2 linked regions of the Saccharomyces cerevisiae S288C genome follow. The gene in region 2 interacts genetically with the main gene of each other region. Each region holds a gene or a part of one and is shown on either strand. Other genes may lie near its edges.

Region 1 (4,979 bases), on a different chromosome or scaffold from region 2:
CAAGGTTGTTCAATTGATTGGCGCCGTACAGACATTACTGAGGAGTATGTTATGTTGATGGAGAACGGTTAAAGTTACATTTCATCAGTTTTTTCCCGTTCTTTTTCACCTTTTGTGAGAAAATTTTACTAACGTTTCGTATATTATTCTTGTAGTACCATTAATTGGAATAAATATACTGGTGATTGTTTATGAATTACTATTGGGATGAACTAAGCGTACGAAGCAAATATTACATACTACTATATACAAGAAACAGGCTCTAATAGTTTTTTTTTCCCTTCACCTTTTCGGTTTTAGCTTTATTATAAAAGATATGAACAAAACCTCCAAGGGTAGTGGTAGCATGGTATGTGAAATTAGAGAGTTCATGCATAACTTGAAATGAAAATAATACTCTGTTACGTAGCTAACTACTGCCAAATATGTATCGAAAATATCAATTATTAAGGGGTTTCGTATTAATAAAATAGAGATCAAATACATTCATATTAGCCTAACTATTGTGGCAATTCTTTCAACTTATCATCCACGAATGTCTGCAAGATCTCTAATTTTTCGATTTGTTCAATTAATGCACTTAATGATATATTGTCCTTGTTACTTCCATCACCATCCGTTCTCTCTGTTATGTCATCAAGACGTAATCTAAAGTAAAATAGCAAGCAGTCATAAATGAAAATAAATTGATTAATGTTCTGGACCATGGATATTCGTTGCTTTCTAAAAATATTAATTGTCCATGAAATTGGATCGAATAACTTTGCCGGGTATTTTAATTTAACAAACTCTTTCTGCAACATTTCAAACATTTCGAAATTGGATAGAATGGAATCAATGGTACACAAAGTACCAGTCCTTCCACAACCTGCGGAACAATGAACCAAAATGGTAGGAAGTTGGTCGTTTTGATAGTAATTTCTGGCAAATAGTGTATCTATTATGTGATTCTTGACATTGATTGCTTGTAAGATTGAGATAGGATTGAGTAAAGTGCCCAAATCAGGCCAATTTTTCACCTGAATCTGTAACAATTCATAAGGTTTCTCTTGATCATGATATGTTAGCAGAATTTTTCTTATGAGAATTGCGTCATCATCATCATCATCATCATCATCACAAGCAGCAGCAGTAACAGCAATATTACTATTGTTATTGTTATTATTATTGTTGTCATTATCATTATCATTATCAGTACTATAGTTACTACTATTTCCCTGAACACCAGCTGAATATAAACTACTATTTTGTGTTCCCATAGTATTTTTCCTCATGCTAGTAGTGCTAGGCATCTTTAATATTTTTTTTTCTAACAATTTAACGTGAATACCGTTATAATTACCTTCTTGCCAATATCGATAACATTTCTCAATGCCATTTTCGAAATCATTTGTCAATGAGAGAACCAACGGAACGCCATTATTCAATATGCATGTATAAAAGTCATGTACAGTGGAGGGCATTGGAGCTTGCGTCGCTATATAGCGCACTCTTCTTGTTGTGGTTGTAGTTGTTTGAAATGACGAATTTTGCTCTACAGAAAACCTTGGCAGAGACAAATAGTTTGCGTTGATATAATTGTCGAGGATGCCACCATCGGAAGTAGAATGTGAATGCTTGATACCTTTTGATGATTGCAAACCTTTTTTTAGAATCACTCTCGAATGCTCGTAGGGAAAAATATCCTTGTACCTGTTCTTGGCTCCTAATTCAACGCCTGATGATATTATAACGTCATCTGACTCCGAATCGGAATCTGATTCAAGGCTGAGCATCGATTTATATTTACTGTATTGAGTGAAGATTGGCTGAGAATGCGACCTCTTTTGTACTTTGTTCACGTCAGGAAATTTTGGAGGCATGATTGTTGAAGAAGAAGTTGATGTTAACTGTTCAGGATATGATGATGGCTTTTCAAGTATAAACGAGTTTTCCTTCTTCCTGAAAGAGACAGAATGGTTCAAGCGCCTTTTTTCCAAAAAATCTAATTTTTGAAACTGAGAAACCAACTCGATCTTGGGTATTGACATCAGATGCTGGAACCATTCAGGTATAACGGAGTCAATGACCTCCTTTTCGTAATTTTTGCTCAGGTTTTCGTATCTGATCTGAAACCCTAGTTTGTCTTTATTAGTGTCCTTTTCTAGAGAATTTTGGTTCTTTGGGAATTGGAAGTTTTGTAAAGATTTTTTGGCAGAATCGTTATTATACCATCTTTCATGTTCTTCTTTGATGTTGACTGCACTCAAATACGTCTCTAAACCCATTATTTCTTCATTTTGCGAAAATTTGAACATTTGGTTTATGTTTGTTTGTGGTGCAGGCAGCTGGAACTTAAATAAGGCAGATATGGGGGAAGAAGAAGACATGGGAGAATCTGATAGGACGTTACGCGGAGAGGGAGAACTGGAAAAGTTTGAATGATCTGACCTACTATCGTCAGGAACTTTCAACTTAAGGTTCATTTGCGGAGACGATAGTGGTGTTGTCGCCGTCATATGCGGCGCTGTGTTGTGTAGACTGTTCATAAGGTTTGTCTTGGGGCTTTTAGGTTCAGCCGAACTAATGCAATCTGAGTTAAATGTGTTGGTGTTTATATGGTCTGGAAATAGAATTTTGAATTGAGGAAAACCACACATTAGTATAGACACGGTTTTTTTAACATTAGTATCAAACTCTATTAGCTTGGACGCTATTCCATAACAAGGTAAAGAAACAGAACTTTCCGTTTGATTTGCGGTGCTATCATAAATGATAATCCGAAGGTTATCGATGGCCAGTTTAGATTTCAACACGCTTTGCTCGCTAGGAGTTAAGTTGTCCAAGAGTTTGGAAAAGGTGAAATTTTTCCTCCTCAGCAGCGTGGAAGGCAAACATACATGAATGGAGTTTGTGATAATGGATTTGGCATGTTCGGTAAACGGCCTAACATCAAGTAAGAGCACCTTTTCATCTGGTAAGGTTTCAATAATCTTGCCCAGTTCTACAGCAGTAATTAGCGAACAACCCTGCGGCTTATTATATCGCTGTTCCTTGGGCTTGAAGCTTGGCAGGACAGGAGCGGTCGCCCTCTTCAATAACACCGGCGAAGATGTCTTATAGCTCACCAAAGGGCTACTGGCTTTGGGGCTGTGGTATATGTTGCTGTTCATGCTGTTATGATAACTGTTCATAGGAGCATGCCTCGAATATACATGCGAACTCGATCCGACCAAAGTGCTAGTCTCGGAAAGCACTGAAGTGCGGTCGGTGGGTAGAATGCTTGGGCAGTCTACACTGTCCTTCATGTTCTATATGATAAGTAGATCTGTGTTGCTGATGGAGAAGGGAGATACAATACGGATTTTCTATGAACTTTGCAGTGATAAGAGCACCTACGCTATTATAACACCGATGTTAGAATAATATGCAAGTTTGTGGTCTGTGTATACAGTTCTTTGTTTGTGCTTGAAGTGATGATGTTACATGTCAAAGAAAGAAAACCGCTAAGGTCAATGAAAATATAGTGTTACATCCGCCGGTGCAAATGGCGAGGAGAAGATTGGACTCTTGCGCATCGAACACTACCTATCTGCATCCATCCATGCCAGGTGCGCAAACTGTTGGGTCTGGCTAACACCACATTCTCGCTGCGCTGTGTTCTCCGATGACGTTTTGCCGCAAAATATTTTTTTCATGAAGGTCTTTTCTTTTCGTTCAGCGTCAGCGGGCCCAAATCTCAAAGTCGCCGCCATTCTGTTTAATGTTTAAAGTTTCCGCTCACTACACCAAGATGGCAGCAGGAGATGCCAGAAAAAGCGTGGGGTCTGGTCTGGTTAGATATTAGAAGTACATACACATCGGTGGGTGTGTAGCAGTGGCGACACATAAAATGGCCATAATGGGGGTGATTTTACGTATAGCATACATAGACATCTGTCGTTGAGGTTCGCTACCAGTGAACGGATTTAACGAGCAAGCAGCGAAAGTAGCCGAAAACCTCTTATTGTTAATAGTCATTTAGCAGCCGTTCTGCTGCTGTTTTCCTGTGGGGTGAGGTGGGCTGTGATTCGGTAAACTCGCTTGCGGTCTAACAAAAACAGAGAAAAACTTGGTACAAAAAGATTTCATTGGACGCAACCGGAATCGAACCGATGACCTCTTCCTTGCAAGGGAAGCGCGCTACCAACTGCGCCATGTGCCCAGAATTTCTGTATGTGTTGGATCTCAACACGGGGTACCTCCGTATAAGCAATTTTAACCCGTAGATGATTTTAGAGTTTCGTTCCTACACGCATGAAAAAGGTAAGATTGAGTATGCCTAAGATGAACCAATCAAAGTTATAAATACCTGAAGAAATGAGTTTAGATCTGTTGGATGGTGAAACATAAAAAACAGAATGAGGAATAATCGTAATATTTTTATGTAGAAATATCAAGTCCATTGTAAGGATTCTAATATCCTCGAGGAGAACTTCTAGTATATTCTGTATACATAATATTATTGCCTTTATCAACAACGGAATCCCAACAATCATCTCAAAGTTCACCAAAAGTCTCAAGATCCGACTTAAATCTTATATAATATGTAGAATTGCCTGCAAAAGTGTACGATTTTACAATAAAAAACGTCGAATTAGCTTTTCGCATACGTCTCAACCAAGAGGAGAGCGGTAAAAATTATGGGAAACTCAATCGTTAACCTTGCGCCTGATCAAAACAATCATTAATAGCCATATTATTTTTATCAACTTCTGGACAGTCAATACTCCAGGGATAATAATGGGACCAAGCATCATTGGCAACTACTCTCAGCTCGGCACGCCAAGAATCACCGTGGCTATAGGTAACACAAAACGCTGTCTTGCCGTGATTGTGCATACTGGATACTGAAACACGAACTGCACATGTTAAATTTCCTTCAGAGGCTGTAATATCACAGCTACTGTTTGTTGACCACGTCTTGACAAACAAACTCCAACCCTCTTGCCCATCAAAAA
Region 2 (5,404 bases):
ACTTCGAGCTTCCATCAGAGAGTTTTCTTAGCGCATCCAACTTGTTGTTATTGTCGAGTAAATTAGCCCGCAAAGAATCTCTTTCATCATTAAGCTTCTGAGTTTCAAGGTGCAATTTCTCTTTAGCACGCACGGTTTCGTGCATTTCATTTATTACTTTTTCTATTTTGTTCAGCGAATCTTTCTCATATATTTGATTATCTTTCTCACTTGAAGGTGGCCGTGCACTGGTAGGATAGCTTTTTAATAATTTACCCAGATAGCAGGACGATTCGTTCAAATAGGTATGAAGTTCGGGGGTTATTTTTTGCATATTATTTACAAGTATTTCGTTCTGGCGCTTCAAAACATCACATTTATTCTCAAGATCGATGATATCCCTTTTAATAGTGACATGTTCGGAGCATGTTTTAAGTCCATTATTTTGAATCGTAATTTGGTCACAGAGTTTACTTGCCTGAGATAATTTGACCATCAATAAATTTTTTAAATCATTAATTCTAGATTCTAAAAAGGTTTTCTGAATTTCTAGATTTTTAAGCCGTGCTGTTTGAAAATTTGAATCTTTTGAAGCTTCTTTTATTACCATGAGTCTCTGGACTTCCTTTTCTAATTGTGAAATATGTCTAGCAGTTTCAAGTTCCTTTTGTTGAGCTTCGAGACGTAATGTTTGTAGGTTCAGGTTTAAATCATCAAAAAGATTTTTGGGAATTCCTTTTTGACATGATGTGTCCTTATATGAAGAAGAGCCATACTCTTCTGAATCCACTGTTAGTCCTCGTAGAACAGGGAAATTTTTTTTAGATACTTTGATACCAGTTCCCGGACTTTCCTTATTGATGCTTGAATCAACTTTGGAAGATTGGGGTTTCTTTTCCTCCCTATCTGATTTTCGTTCAAATGCCTTATCATCCAAAGCGCTGGAGTAACTTCCAGCCCCTTCATCAATATCATTATAACTCAAAACTTTGCTATCAGGCAATCTTGGTGTAAGAATGTTTATTATCTCTTGATTTTCACTTTCGGTAGACTTAGAGGGTGTAAAGCCCCCGGAAAGACTATTAGAAAAACTTTCTCCTGCATGTAGTGATTCACACATTATTCCTGGGCATAGCTCATTCAAAGATGATAAATCTAAGGTATACAGTAAAGTTCCTTCGCCTTGGTCAGTTTCTGAAGTTTGTAGATCGTGAATATTTGGGCTGGCATAGTCAGTTTTGTCGCCACCCATGATAAGAAGCTTCTCATTCTTCATTAAGGTTAAAGAATGTCCAGAGCGTTCTTGAGGTATGCCCTCCTTCATACGGGGAAGCTTATACCATTTTAGCGATAATAAGTTTAAAAAATAGACATCGTTGGAATATGCGTTATGGGTATCCTTACCGCCTAACACACACATTAAATGTTTATACACCACACTAGCATGCTCTTGTATTGGCGGAGGCTTTTCTCCTGTGGTTTTAACTTTAGACCACTCACTTTGTGCTGGATCGTAGCGGTATGTATCATTGCTTATTGTCTTGGGAGTTTCCCCGCCGAATACCCATAATTTGTTGTCATATGCCACCATTGTATGATTTGTTAAAGGAGGAGGCAGGTCGCCGACAGGCTCTAAAAATTCCCAATGAGAATTCGGCCTACGGAATGATGATAAATCAAAGACGACCAGATCGTTAAAATAAGTTTCATCTACTTGTCCGCCAAAAAGATATAGTTTAGTTTGCATAGGGTTGCTAGCAATTATAGAAATTTTATGGCCGTACCTGCCCAACGGCCTACGGCCGATAGGTTGTGGTATGGTCCACTTATAAGAATTAATATTGAAAAGATAAAGATCATCATCCAACAGTCCGTTCTTATTCAGCTTGTGTGTGTCGCCACCAAACACAACATAGGCATTACCGCATATAGTAGAGGCATGTCCCACTCTTGGGGGAGGTGTATTTTGATCAATATCGATTCTCTTGGAAGTAAAGCTCGTACCATCCGCGTTAGCGGCTATTTGCCAGACATCCCCATATACCGATTGATCGTGAAGTCCACCGGTCACAAAAATCCTGTTATCATTCGTAACAATAAATGAGGAAGAGTGTCGATAACGGGGAAACGGAGAGTTTTTTAGTTTGACCCTATTCCAAATATACTTCCCTGTATTCTTACTCTCTGGAGACCAGGGAAGAGCAGTCGACGCGCCTGATATGCCTCTATGCTGGTTTGGAGGTAGCGTAGGTGTTACTATTCGCGTATTGTTTCGATTATCCATAAAAACTATTGGTCTGGGTACACTTTGCGCTGAAATCAGAGAAGGTCCCGTGTCCGTAGGTACCTTATTTGTCAGCTTGAAAGGTACCATAGCTACTTAAGGGGTTGCCTGCCTCATCCAAATCATTTTTTTTTTTTGTTACAACCTATGCTAAAATTCACGTGTACGCATTTCAAAATTGAAAAAAAAAAGAGCAAGCAACACCAAAACCAAACTTCATAATAAATTAGTATCCCAAAAGACCCTTTCACAAGGTAATTACTTCCTTCGAGACTAATTCGGGTTTTGCGAAGCTTTTTTTTTTTTCTTCACAGTTTCTCCCAAGAGAAGAAAAAATTCACAAGCGTGTCATTTCGTGCAGCTTACATCAGCACAATCCATGCACAAAAAAGGTGTAGTAAGTTTTAAACGAGAGAGATGGGCATGACAGTAGGTAGGGCATGCATCTGCAGGAGTGAAGCTGCGATACTCCTCAGCGCAGAGAACACATAAGGGCACATATTCATGATTTTGATATTCTTAGCTATCTGTAAACATATATCAACGTATGTAGTAGTTACAAGAGGTACAATTGTAGAAACTGCCTATATCAATCAAGTATGTCTTTGTGAATTTCGTCCTTGACGAAAATGTGCCTGTTTCCGACCAGTTCCCCGTTGTTGGATGAGAATAACTCGCTTGCGGAATTTCCATCTGCATTTTTCTTTAAAGTCACGTCACCGCTACTAATGTTTCTCATTAACTGAATAAACTTCGACTCAGATAGTTTTGATTCGACAGAGGAGGAAAGAGTAGAAGAGGAGGATGCAGACGAAGGCGGTGGAGTACAGCATTTTACTATATCTGTGGCAATCCTTTGCAGTTCCGACTGATCTTGGTCGAACCATTTCTCGTCCCGACGTGTTATGGGCTCGTACCGCTCTTTTTGAATTTCTCTCTCCAAAACTTGGAACTCCGCGTCGAATTGAAACGCATCCGTTGGGTTGTCCCGGTTTCCTTGGCGTTGCTGTCGAAGCGTCTTTTGAGGTGGGTAAGTGCAACTTGTCTTCCTTATCATACAATTCTTAAAAGGTAAGTGTTGTCTGCTTGAATTCAGGCGCTGCTGTGACTCGTAATTGGAATACAACCTTTTATATTCTGAGCTAAACTCTAGTGAATCGTCAATCTTCATAGACGAGAACTGCGGAACCCAATCACTGGAATCTACAGTGTTGTTTGGAGTAATGAAGGTTAATGGAGAGGGTTGATTTTGATACCTTACATTGTCAATGCCGTCAAAATTACTACCATTATGCAAAAAGTGTTTTTCCACATGCGAGTCTTCAGTGGCATAGTGTGCTGTTAATTCCGTATGGGCCAGCTTGGTGCGTTTTGACGGTATTAAGGAATCATTCTGTATGCGATGCCCTTGTTGGATAATCTTTTCTATCGGGCTTGTATGGCAGACACTGGGCATGGTATTCTAGTTTGGTCTTTATAATTTTTCACCTGTTTCTTTTTGAAACAAAACCAAAGTATGCGGCGTCAACCTTGACTATATTCTCTTAAATATATATCTGCCGTTCTATCAGAGGTTTGAACATTGCCAATGCCTTAAAGAAATATTTAGTCATCCCATCTCCGATTATCGGCACTAGTTTCCATTTTTCCAGCGGAAAGATAAAAAGAAACGGAAAGAAAAAAGGCCGACAAATAAACCAAACGGTATTCGTAGACCGATGACAATACGACTACAATTAAGGTAGCGCGCCTCACTATGATGTGGATCAGCCTCACATTCAGAGCAATTTGTAGTACAGCAAAGTTGCCGATGTCGTCTTCGTGAACCATTGTCAACGCAGATTAAGCACACCCTAAAACTTGAATAATGCAAATTCCATAGCTTAGTTTAATCAAGGCGCCATTATTCCTCAGTTGAAAAGTATATCTAATGGTTAGGATTAGAAATATGTTCATTGCTCATTGTTATGTGTATCATATCGTACAAAAATTATATAAAGAAATAATAATGAAAAAGAGTAAAACAAAGACAAATAGACAAAAATAGAGGATAGAAAAAGAAAAACAACAGATACATAAATAAGTCTTATGACAAAAAAACGATTGTATAAAAATTAAAGTGCATGCCATTTTTACCTCCTTTTGCTTAACTTAAACTTTTCATTGCAATCATTCATTTGTTTTCAGCGGCTAAAGCGGCTACCTCAGCTCTCAACTTTAATCTACCGGACAGGATGTCACCAATCTTGTTGTATTCAGCCCAGTGAACTTCAAAACCCTTTCTTAATTCAACGTTGGTTTCGTTTTCCCAAAGGTTAGCAATTGGCTTGAAGGAAACGTGAGAACCATTAACACAGATAACAGCAGCAGAGTCATCTTCGTGCTCAACAGTTGGTACCTTTTCACCGTGAGTATCGAACTTGAATCTCAAAACCTTAGCGTCAGTGTTTGGAGAAGCTTCATTTTTCTTGTTCCATTGTTCGATAAACTTGATACATTTGACAGCAAATCTGGAAGCGGTGACACGGTCTTTAGAAGATGGAACACCACCTTGTTGAACATGGCCTGGGATAGCAGTTCTAACACCAAACTTACCCTTGCTTGCTTCAGAGATGATGTCAGCCAACAATTGAGTGCTATATACGCTAGAAGCTTGTTCGTTTCTAACCAATAGCTTACCGTTTCTGTTTTCACCTTTGTCGTGACGAAAGTTCTCTTTTAATAGAGTTATATCTTCTCTGATAGAAGCTAAGTCGATCTTCTTTTCTGGAGTGTACACTGAAACAGCACCAGTGATTAAACCAGTGAAAGAAGCGATGTAACCAGAGTGACCACCTTGGACTTCACAGACGAAGACTCTTCTTCTTGTCGCAGAAGCACTCTGTTTGATGTCATCAGTGTAATTGACTAATGCGTTCAAACAGGTATCAACACCAAGTGAGTATTCAGTACCTGGAACGTTGTTAGAAACAGTGGCTGGAATCAAACACATTGGAATGTTAAAGATTGGGTGTTGGGTTCTACCGTCACGCAATTGCTTCAAGGACCTGAAACCTTCAAAACCACCAAGAATAATCAAACCGTCTAGCTTGTTCTTTTGGAAGTAGTAAGCAATGGTACCCAAATCTTCTGAAGCAACAG

Evidence for each region. A genetic interaction does not mean that the proteins touch.
Region 1: mutations in PEX21 (region 2) and PTP3 together harm fitness more than expected from each alone (negative genetic interaction), as found in Saccharomyces cerevisiae (2 studies listed by BioGRID).

The regions. Positions count from the first base shown.
Region 1 is NC_001137.3:307,913-312,891, forward strand, and holds PTP3 (tyrosine protein phosphatase PTP3), read right to left. Parts: upstream 3,288-4,979; coding exon 501-3,287; downstream 1-500. Other genes in the region: YOS1 (Yos1p), read left to right, coding at 1-44, 156-211; YER076C (uncharacterized protein), read right to left, coding at 4,678-4,979. UniProt on the Saccharomyces cerevisiae protein: Major phosphatase responsible for tyrosine dephosphorylation of MAP kinases FUS3 and HOG1 to inactivate their activity; it also has important roles, along with MSG5, in the inactivation of FUS3 following pheromone stimulation.
Region 2 is NC_001139.9:966,335-971,738, forward strand, and holds PEX21 (Pex21p), read right to left. Parts: upstream 3,720-5,404; coding exon 2,853-3,719; downstream 1-2,852. Other genes in the region: KEL2 (Kel2p), read right to left, coding at 1-2,353; PFK1 (6-phosphofructokinase subunit alpha), read right to left, coding at 4,437-5,404. UniProt on the Saccharomyces cerevisiae protein: Receptor that mediates peroxisomal import of proteins containing a C-terminal PTS2-type peroxisomal targeting signal via its interaction with PEX7.